Linked DNA regions of Nothobranchius furzeri. The protein of the gene in region 1 purifies or fractionates together with the protein of each later gene. This does not show direct contact. Links are inferred from orthologs where the notes say so. Each region holds a gene or a part of one and is shown in the gene's direction. Other genes may lie near its edges.

What was found.
Region 2: the proteins of E3 ubiquitin-protein ligase Hakai (region 1) and proto-oncogene tyrosine-protein kinase Src purify together in Homo sapiens (affinity purification with western blotting; 3 studies listed by BioGRID and IntAct, with this or other methods). This does not show direct contact. The link is inferred for Nothobranchius furzeri from reciprocal best matches to the Homo sapiens genes CBLL1 and SRC.

Annotation. Positions count from the first base shown.
Region 1 is NC_091741.1:57,567,195-57,571,548, reverse strand, and holds the start of E3 ubiquitin-protein ligase Hakai, read left to right. Parts: upstream 1-1,422; 5' UTR 1,423-1,541; coding exon 1,542-1,560; intron 1,561-1,599; exon of another isoform or gene 1,600-1,770; intron 1,771-2,302; coding exon 2,303-2,491; intron 2,492-3,632; coding exon 3,633-3,739; intron 3,740-3,981; coding exon 3,982-4,065; intron 4,066-4,142; coding exon 4,143-4,216; intron 4,217-4,354. UniProt on the Homo sapiens protein: E3 ubiquitin-protein ligase that mediates ubiquitination of several tyrosine-phosphorylated Src substrates, including CDH1, CTTN and DOK1. Targets CDH1 for endocytosis and degradation.
Region 2 is NC_091743.1:58,638,604-58,642,960, forward strand, and holds the start of proto-oncogene tyrosine-protein kinase Src, read left to right. Parts: upstream 1-1,503; 5' UTR 1,504-1,716; intron 1,717-4,357. Other genes in the region: protein MANBAL, read left to right, coding at 129-239. UniProt on the Homo sapiens protein: Non-receptor protein tyrosine kinase which is activated following engagement of many different classes of cellular receptors including immune response receptors, integrins and other adhesion receptors, receptor protein tyrosine kinases, G protein-coupled receptors as well as cytokine receptors.

The DNA of each region.
Region 1 (4,354 bases):
TAAACAATTGTGCAAACAAACCCATTTGGCTAACATTCACTTCTTGGGAGAACTCGACCACAGATGTTCAACTGTAAACTCAGTAATAATTTAGCAAATGTAAACTAGTTCCTCCCTTCTTCTTATTAGCATTAGAGCTAATTAGCTGACGACAGTTGACTAGTGTAGAGCCAAAAGCAAACTTGAACAGGTCACTAACTTAGGTATAACTTCGTCGTTGGAACAGTAGAGTTAAAATGTGCAAGTTGCTTAAAAAGACTGATTATTTTAAGACAAAAACTAACCTTTGATGGAAAGTCCGCCGCTGTTGCTTCCTTTTCTGTTGGATATTTGTGGGTTTTATAGTCAAGAGCCAGCTATTAGGTCGATGTAGCTAACGTAGCTTGCCGTGGTAGCTTAGCTAACATCCGTTAGCCTGTGAGTGATTTGTTTTGAAGAAGCACGGGCTAACGTAAGCTAGCTCAACTTCGCTAACGTTAGTCAGATGTGGCTGCAAAACTGTTAAATACGCAAGGTCCATACGTTAATTTCCTCTAAAAATAAAAAGCGATACGTGTCCTTTCTGATAGACAGGGCATGGTTTGTACTCACGCATTAAGTAATTCAAACGCGGGGCTAAGTTTAACATGCAAAGCAAGAAAAACTCAGTCATAAATTTCGAATCAAAATGGCGACATTGTACGATGAGAGCGCGCGGCACACGGGGACGAGCATCAGCTTCACTGCTTCGCAAAACATCAGAGCTCACTCACATGGGGTTCAAGCATCTTAATTGTAAATTATGTAATTTCTGACTCGTTTAATTGTCTCTTACTTTTAAAAATGGTACATTAACAGCGCTTGTGGGAATTGTGCAAATGTATGCGACAAAACGACGCTCAAATTAAAACAAGATCTAAATTATGAGACAAACTCATTATGCAGTAACGCAACAAACACATGAAGTCAAAATTATCGAGACGTTATGCGATATATGTCAGAAATAAGAGATTTTAAAAACACCAGTTTAACTTGAAATTAAAGGTGATATGAATGAAGATGCATATAATCTGATTAAATTAAAAATGCCAATACCAAAATATTAGACTACTAGCTTAAATGCTGTTCTGAAAAGTTTAAAATGCATTTACTTCATTTAGAAGTGCAACAATTTTGACACTTTTACAGAGTGTTAGTTTTTTTTTATTTATGCATGCGAAGTTAACTGCTCAGTTTATACTACAAAGATCAGAAAAGTGGTTTTATTTTAATGAACGAATTACTTAATATTGTATGTTTATAAATATCATCTTTACAGAATTCAAGGGACCCCCCCCCCCCCCCCGGCCACCCACAATGCATTGCGCTCACTCGTTGGATCCGGTTGGATCATGGACCAAAGTGGTGAGCTAAACGCTAAGTAGGCCCTCTGTTGTCAAAGTTTGTTTTTGTGGCTTATTTTTTCGTTTTGCCGCCAGAGTTGCTGCTCTAGTAGTTCTTTAAATTATTACGAACAACCTTCCAGGAATCCGGCTTTGCTGTTGGAGCTTGGTGCCTCTGAAATGCTCCGTTACGGTTTAGGTTAGCTGTGGATTTGTGCTAAAGGACGTCAGTTCACCATTTAACCCTTAAGTTCTAAGTCAGTTGGAATAGTTAGTTGTAACGTTAACTGGAGGTGTGTTCGGTTCCTGTGCCGAATGTGATTAGTTTGATTTTAGGTGTAAATCCAGCGATAGCGTTGTACAGCCTACCTTACCCTGTTTTAGCGCTTAGCTAATTCTTTGGCTAACGGTTTGTAACTTCGTTTTTGTTGCTCGTCCTCAGATTATTTATTGATGTCCGAGACCTTCTTTGTGTTTAGTATTCTCACAAGTAAAGATCAGGGTAAACTGAATTTCGGTTGGATAAAAATAGCCTGGTGTTCTTTCGGAATATTTCTTAAATATGTCAACGTTTCAATCTGTCGCCTTTTATGTGCCTTCGTTTTGAGAATTTTCTCCTTTCTTTACCATAAAAAACACTTTCTTGATAAACTTACGTCACAGATAATAAGCATTATTCTTCAAACCGTTAGATTTATACTTTGATTACATGAGGGAAAGTGTTCCGACACATCAGCAGGCAGAAATGCCAAACATTAACACGCCAAAAAGTAGTTTGAACAAGAACAGAAACGTTTGCTTATTTAACTCATCAGTCGGGTACATTTCAAATAAAGATTTACATAACTTTTGGAACGCAGATGTAATATAATTGTGCTTAATGGTGTGATGCTATCAGTTTTTTGTTTTTATTTTTTGGGTTGTGCATTCGGTGTGTACAGACGGTGATCTTCAAGGGAGCGATGGTTCGGGAAGTTTGGGTGGACTGGATGTTCGCAGACGAATCCCCATCAAGCTCATTTCCAAGCAGCCCTTGAGGAATAAGCCCCAGCAGCGGATGCAGAGGCCTGGCACCAGGCCCTGCAAAAGTGAACCTGGGGAAGATGGTACGCTACCGAGCACATTAAAAAGCAAGTCACCCCCAAATCAACCTTTTTGTGTGATAAACTATATAAATTGTGCTGCAGACATGTGTAGTCAATAGTTTGGCACTTTAGTGCATTTTAGTTAAAATTTTAATTTTCTGACTAAAACTGTCAGTGTTGTGCCGTTGTCAGGTAAAAACTCTGCACTGCATTTGAATTTAAATCTGCCATCGCTATTGGCTAAGAGGTATCCTACAACGTTAGCTGGTACCATATGATGTCACAATGTCGTTGTGAGCGTGTGTGTGTGTGTGTGTGTGTGTGTGTGTGTGTGTGTGTGTGTGTGTGTGTGTGTGTGTGTATTTGTTAGCAGCTCCGCCCTCTCAGTCTGCTAGGCAACAACATTTGTTGCATTTTTCAAATCAGAAGTGGGAGTGGAGTAATACTCTGGTAGGGGGTGACTTGCTCTTTAAACTTTTAAAAAGTAAACTGATCGGGGTTATAGTCACAACATTTTCTGTAGAATTTTAATTTGGAGGTTGAATCTTTTTATGGTTCATGTTGATTCTGTGCTGCAGGAACTGCACAATTCTGGCTGGACTGTGCTCCCAGCAGAATCCACTAATCAGTCATTTGCTCCAATGCAGAGCCTTAAAAATAACTATTTAGACAGATGCTTTTAAAATAAACTGATTTATACACCTCAGTTAGTAATCATAAACATTGTTTTGTTGAACCTGACCAAAACCCTTCTTCTGAGGGTGAGACAGATTTTGCTGTATATTAACTTATAGAATTAACCATTATTCATTAGAATATACTTTATTGTCTCAATTGGGAAATTTGTCATTAGGTCAAAAAAGTTGCACTTCGGTTAGTATAACTGAAAAAAGGAAAAACTACACAGAACCATACTAATCTCCACATTACATACTACTCTTAACAGATGACCTTTGATTATGCATTGTACATAATACACATAGCACATTCCTTAAACATCGAGTACTGCACACTTACACAATCCCACAATACTGCAATTTGAAAATTTCAATCTGAAACATTTTGCCCCAGCTCTATCAGTTGACTAATTGAGTTCTAAACAACAAAATCTGCTTTTATTAATCAGGGTTTTATTGACTTTCTCTTTTCAGTTTTACAATAATACTTATTTTCTCATATTTTGTAGATAAATTCAACTTTAAGCAAGAGGAAAGGTTTGATTGTGGCACCAAAGCTGGCGATGTGTTTGCAAGCCAGCGGAGATTTCCACAACCCCTATTTTGGGACTATAAGGTACGTCAGTGTGGGTTTGCTGACATCATCTTATTATAGTGACTTTCTGTTTTATATATATATATATATATATATATATATATATATATATATATATATATATATATATATAATAAAGCTGTCCATTGACCTTGGGTTAGTGTACACTGTTGTTTTGCTTTGACTATAAAAGCTTTGTGACTGGATTTGAGTATGTCTGAGTGACAGATACCCATAATTCCACCCATTTGCTTTCCCTACAGTTACATTTAATTGGTGAACGGGATGAAGTACCAATTCATTTCTGTGACAAATGTGGCCTCCCTATTCAGCTGTATGGACGGATGGTATGTACTTTGTTCTTGCTTGCTCCCTTTGGTTGGTTTTGAATCATTTTCTGGACTGAGACTCTCCCTCTCCTCAGATCCCATGCAAACATGTTTTCTGTTACGACTGCGCTTTGCTGCATGAGAAGAAAGGAGAAAAGATGTGTCCAGGGTGAGACATGTTTGTTTTTCATTAGAATGACTTCTCAGATGTTAAGAAATCCTGCTAGAAAGATAAACCCTGGAGAATACTGTCTTGTTTTTGTTTTTTTGTGGCAAAAAGTTTAATGATATGTTAAAATATTAAATC
Region 2 (4,357 bases), on another chromosome or scaffold:
GTACACATGGGAATTTCCTTCTTCTGTTTGTTTGGTAAAGCTGCATTTAAGCTTGGAAAAAAGGAACATATATTCATTCCATGCGTTTAGCCGTTTAGTTTTTAATGTTTCTGGTGTTCGGCCCACAGGAGGAGACAGAGTCCACTGATGGGAAAACGACAGAACCAGTGAAGAAACCCAAAGGACCAGCACCTCAGATTCGACAGAAACCAAAGAAAGAGAGCAAAAAGAAACGATAGAGCTTTGTGCATCTGAGTTTGTTTGTTTTTGTCATCTGATACATTTTAGTTATTATTACAACACTACATGGAACACATTTCTCAATGATCCTACTTTCATATTCACACAGACTGCAAAAAAACACGATGTTCATTGACAGTGAAGAGTTTTCGTTTCCCTTCATTTTATTAATAAATATTGAAGATATTGTTGGAAATGCATGTGGATTACAACTGACCAATAAAGTCATTCACCTCAGCTGTCTTTATGATTGTTTTACTCATGTCTGTGAGTCAGTTAAGTGTGACTGGTGTTCAGCTACAGACACAAATATCATAGGGAGATTTGGAGTTTTGCAATGTATTTAAATATAAAGAATAGGTAACTTGTCCATATTTGATCTCGATGCTTTTGATTTATTATGTAAATTTGGGTTTATTTGTGTCATTGTAACTTTCTTTCTCTTGAAATCGCATATCTAGAGAGAATTTTTTCATAGCTAAAAATTTCATTAAGCCAAACGTCATTTTATAAAAAATACTTTTATTTCTATTACAAAAACATTAAAAGGGAACTTATTAAAATAGATGATTGCGACAGTAATTTGAAAAATAAATTGATAAACTATGCACTGATTGTTCACAAGTGCAAACCTTTACATTTACTCAGTTACCAGATTATTTTAAATTACAACGTTGTGGAACAATAAAACTCAAAACTGGGGCAAATGTTTTCCAAACGTCAACAACCCCGGAGGGTTTGACTTTAATGCGACAGTCACGTTCTGCTGTAATGGAAGTGTTGCTAAGCAACCACTTTACGTTGCCTGTACTTTAAGCAAATCATCTCAATTAAGTCATTGCCGGGGATTTGTTATGTAACAAAGTTGTGTATGTATTGAACAGATCTAAAGGGGTTAAACGCGGCAGCGGTGTTCAGAATCTGTTCGTGTCATGCCCAAAGTGATTCCCTTCACAGAGCCGAGTTGCGCAGTTGTTGTCGTAAATTCTCCCGACGCTCTTTGAACGTAAATCTAGTCTTTTCGTGTTCGCCCCTGGTTCGCCCTCATGTTTCGTAAGCGATGCGCTCTCTCCGGCGGCTTCCTCCCCCATACGAGGCTGGTCTTCCCCGGATAACACCGCTCCAGCTCGTTCGCATGATTTTTACTGCGCCGTCGCCTCCTTTCCAGCTGGACCGTCTGCCGGTGCTTCGCCCGGACCACCGCCGCCGTAGCTCACCGCCACCACCGCGGCAGCTGCGCTCCCTCCTTGAGGAGAATCAGTCCTCGTCATGACCTCTCTCCCTTCCTCCGGTGATTCTTCTGATATTCGCTAAATGGGATTTGCGGCTGGACTGAGGTTTCCACAGCAACTGCCCGTCGGCTTCCATATTCTTCTGATGAGAACAGCCATACGAATCTGACCGGGCTCCTCGCTGCGCTTCTCTGATTTTTTTATTTTATTTTTTTGGGGGGCTGAATCACAAGACGCGTCAAAGGTAGGTTTAGTTTATTACAGCATGTAGCGGCTTTTTCTCTCCTGGCGAGGAGATTGTTTACAGTTTTGGGGCCAACCGCGAGCTAACAATTAGGTGTTAGTCTGTTTTCACACATGTATATATGCTGTGGTCCCCTACACACACATACACACACACACACACGCTCATTGTTACACAGGCCATTCAGAGACCACGGCCAGTGCAATGATTCAGTCTGAGCCGGGGCTTGCCCCTTAGGACTTACTACAGACCATAAAAAACAAAAGGTTTGTAAAAATCGCCATCGTGGCTTCGTCACGACGCCAGATGCTCAGAGAAAATCCGATGAGACGAGTTTGCTCTGAAAAAGAAGCCAACAATCCATCGAAATCCAAAATGGAGCTGTAACAGCACCTGTTTTGATTCATCAGGCCACATGCACTGGAGCTACCGCTGTCTGTCACTGAGCCCTCTTAAAAATAAGTCAATCCACGTTCCCATTCACAAATCCAGAAACCACCTGAAACGGATCGCCCTGCTAACTCTGGCTGGTTTTTAATTAGGTTATGTCTTTATTTTTATTTTCTCCCCAAGCAAAGATTCCGTTTTGACAGTTGCTACTCCCGTAGGCAGCAGCCACCCCACCCCGCGTTTCATTGAAAGCAGCTTTGCTGACAACTGGTGTTTAATCCCGTGGAAATAGAATTTTAATTATGTGGCTAATAGTTTATTAGCAGATAGTTTTTTTTTGGGGGGGGGGGGGGGGGGGGGCTGTTCCAGCTAATTTCTGGGAGGAAAGAGATCCAGGTTTCTTATTAAGGAGGAACTTTAATCCTAAAGCCCTAGTATCTGAGCTACTGGTGGACTTGCTGATCCACCAAACATAAAGGAAGCTGCAACATCTAACTGGGCTGTAAAAGCAAAATTAAATATTTTTATCCCATAAATGGGGGCAAATGGGTGATAAACATGATGTTCTGTTTTTGGGTCATTCAAAATATTTGGCTCAATTGGCTGCAGCTATGTTATTGTCTCCATTATTTATTCATGCGTTCATCTGTTTTAGTCAGCAGACATTAAATGTACAGACAGCTTCCTAAAATCAAGGGTTGGCTAATCTGGAACTAAAGCCTTCAGTGAACTCCCACCTTTCCTGATCTTGTTTGGTGTTGATACTAGGAACATTTCAGGAATGTTTTCCTGCCTGTTTTCAGGTAATTCCGACTGCTTGTCATGTCTCACTAGTTGAAAAGGTGTTCCCTGAACACCGACTCATGAGTTATGTCGCAGAACTTTTTTGCATGGAGGCTTCCAGGTGAATATCGACTTCAAGAAGACCAAAAGGTTATTTTACTTTCCTAATGCCTTCAGTGTAAAAGTGAGTGGAGACTTTAGACATGTTTTGATCAGAGGGAGTATTATAAATAAAATGCTCTCATTTGAATAAATGTAAGTCAGAAATGGGGCGTACACGTAGAACAGGGTGAGTTTTAAGAATTTGTAAATGACGTGACATCTCTGACATGAAATGGCCATCATGTCCTGTAAAATTAATCACGCTGAAGCAGCCGCTCCCCACGGCCAGGATCACTGGTTCCCAGAGCCTTCAGTCAGAGATGGACGGAAGTGTTTTTTCTTTATCAGCTAAGTGCCTCAGTCTGTCCGTCTTCCTCCTCCTCCTTTTTTCCCCTTGTCTCTCCTGAGTGTGTTTGCCAGAGGACAGATGAGATGGGAGAGCTTGTTTACCCTTTCCACACATGTTGGATTGTTCATGTAAAGGCTTAGAAGACAAGAAGATGTGGTTCTGATGTTCATTGGACCTAATCAAGTCCATTTCTCTTCCTCTGACTATGTAAAGTAGGACAAGACGGCAATGCCAATGTGAATGCTTCCTCTTGTTTTGATCATGGGGAACCATCGCTGACCCCTCCCCACCTCCTCTTCCTCGCCTTCTCTCCCGAGGGCAAACTGTAATTTCCCCATTGAACTGAAACATTAGCCAGAGCTCCTTCAGTCTCTGCAGCACAGCAACAACTGGTACCGTCTGTTGTGACTCAGTCAGGTTTGTCATAGCCAAATGTGCAGCAATAGTGTGCTCATCATCACAAGAAAAATCAGGGTTGATAAGACCTGGGACAGGGGGATGGATTAGCAAAAAAAGTGTTCTGTTTCCTACGTAAAATCTTAGCACAAGGTAAGACTGACTTCAGAGCCACAAATGTTTTTGTTTTGGGTTGTCATTTTATCAGCTTAAGTCACAATCGGTGTGATCAGACATGCCACGTTCACGTGCTGAATGTTCGGAACTATTTCTTAAAGAGCAAGTCAACTCGTACAAGAAACTTACTTCACTCCCTCTTCATGTTTGAAAAATGCAACAAATTCTGTTGCCTGGCAGACCGAGAGGGCGGAGCTGCTAACAAATACACACAAAGACAGGCTCACGACAGCATTGTGACATCATAATGTACCAGTTTACATCATAGCATACCTCTTAACCAATAGCGGTGGCAGATTTAAATTAAAATACAGTGCAGAGTTTTTACCTGACAACGGCACAACACTGCCAGTTTTAGGCAGAATATTTGAATTTTAACTAAGATGCACTGAAATGCCAAATTATTGACGACACGTGTCTGCAGCACGATTAGACACTCGTTTA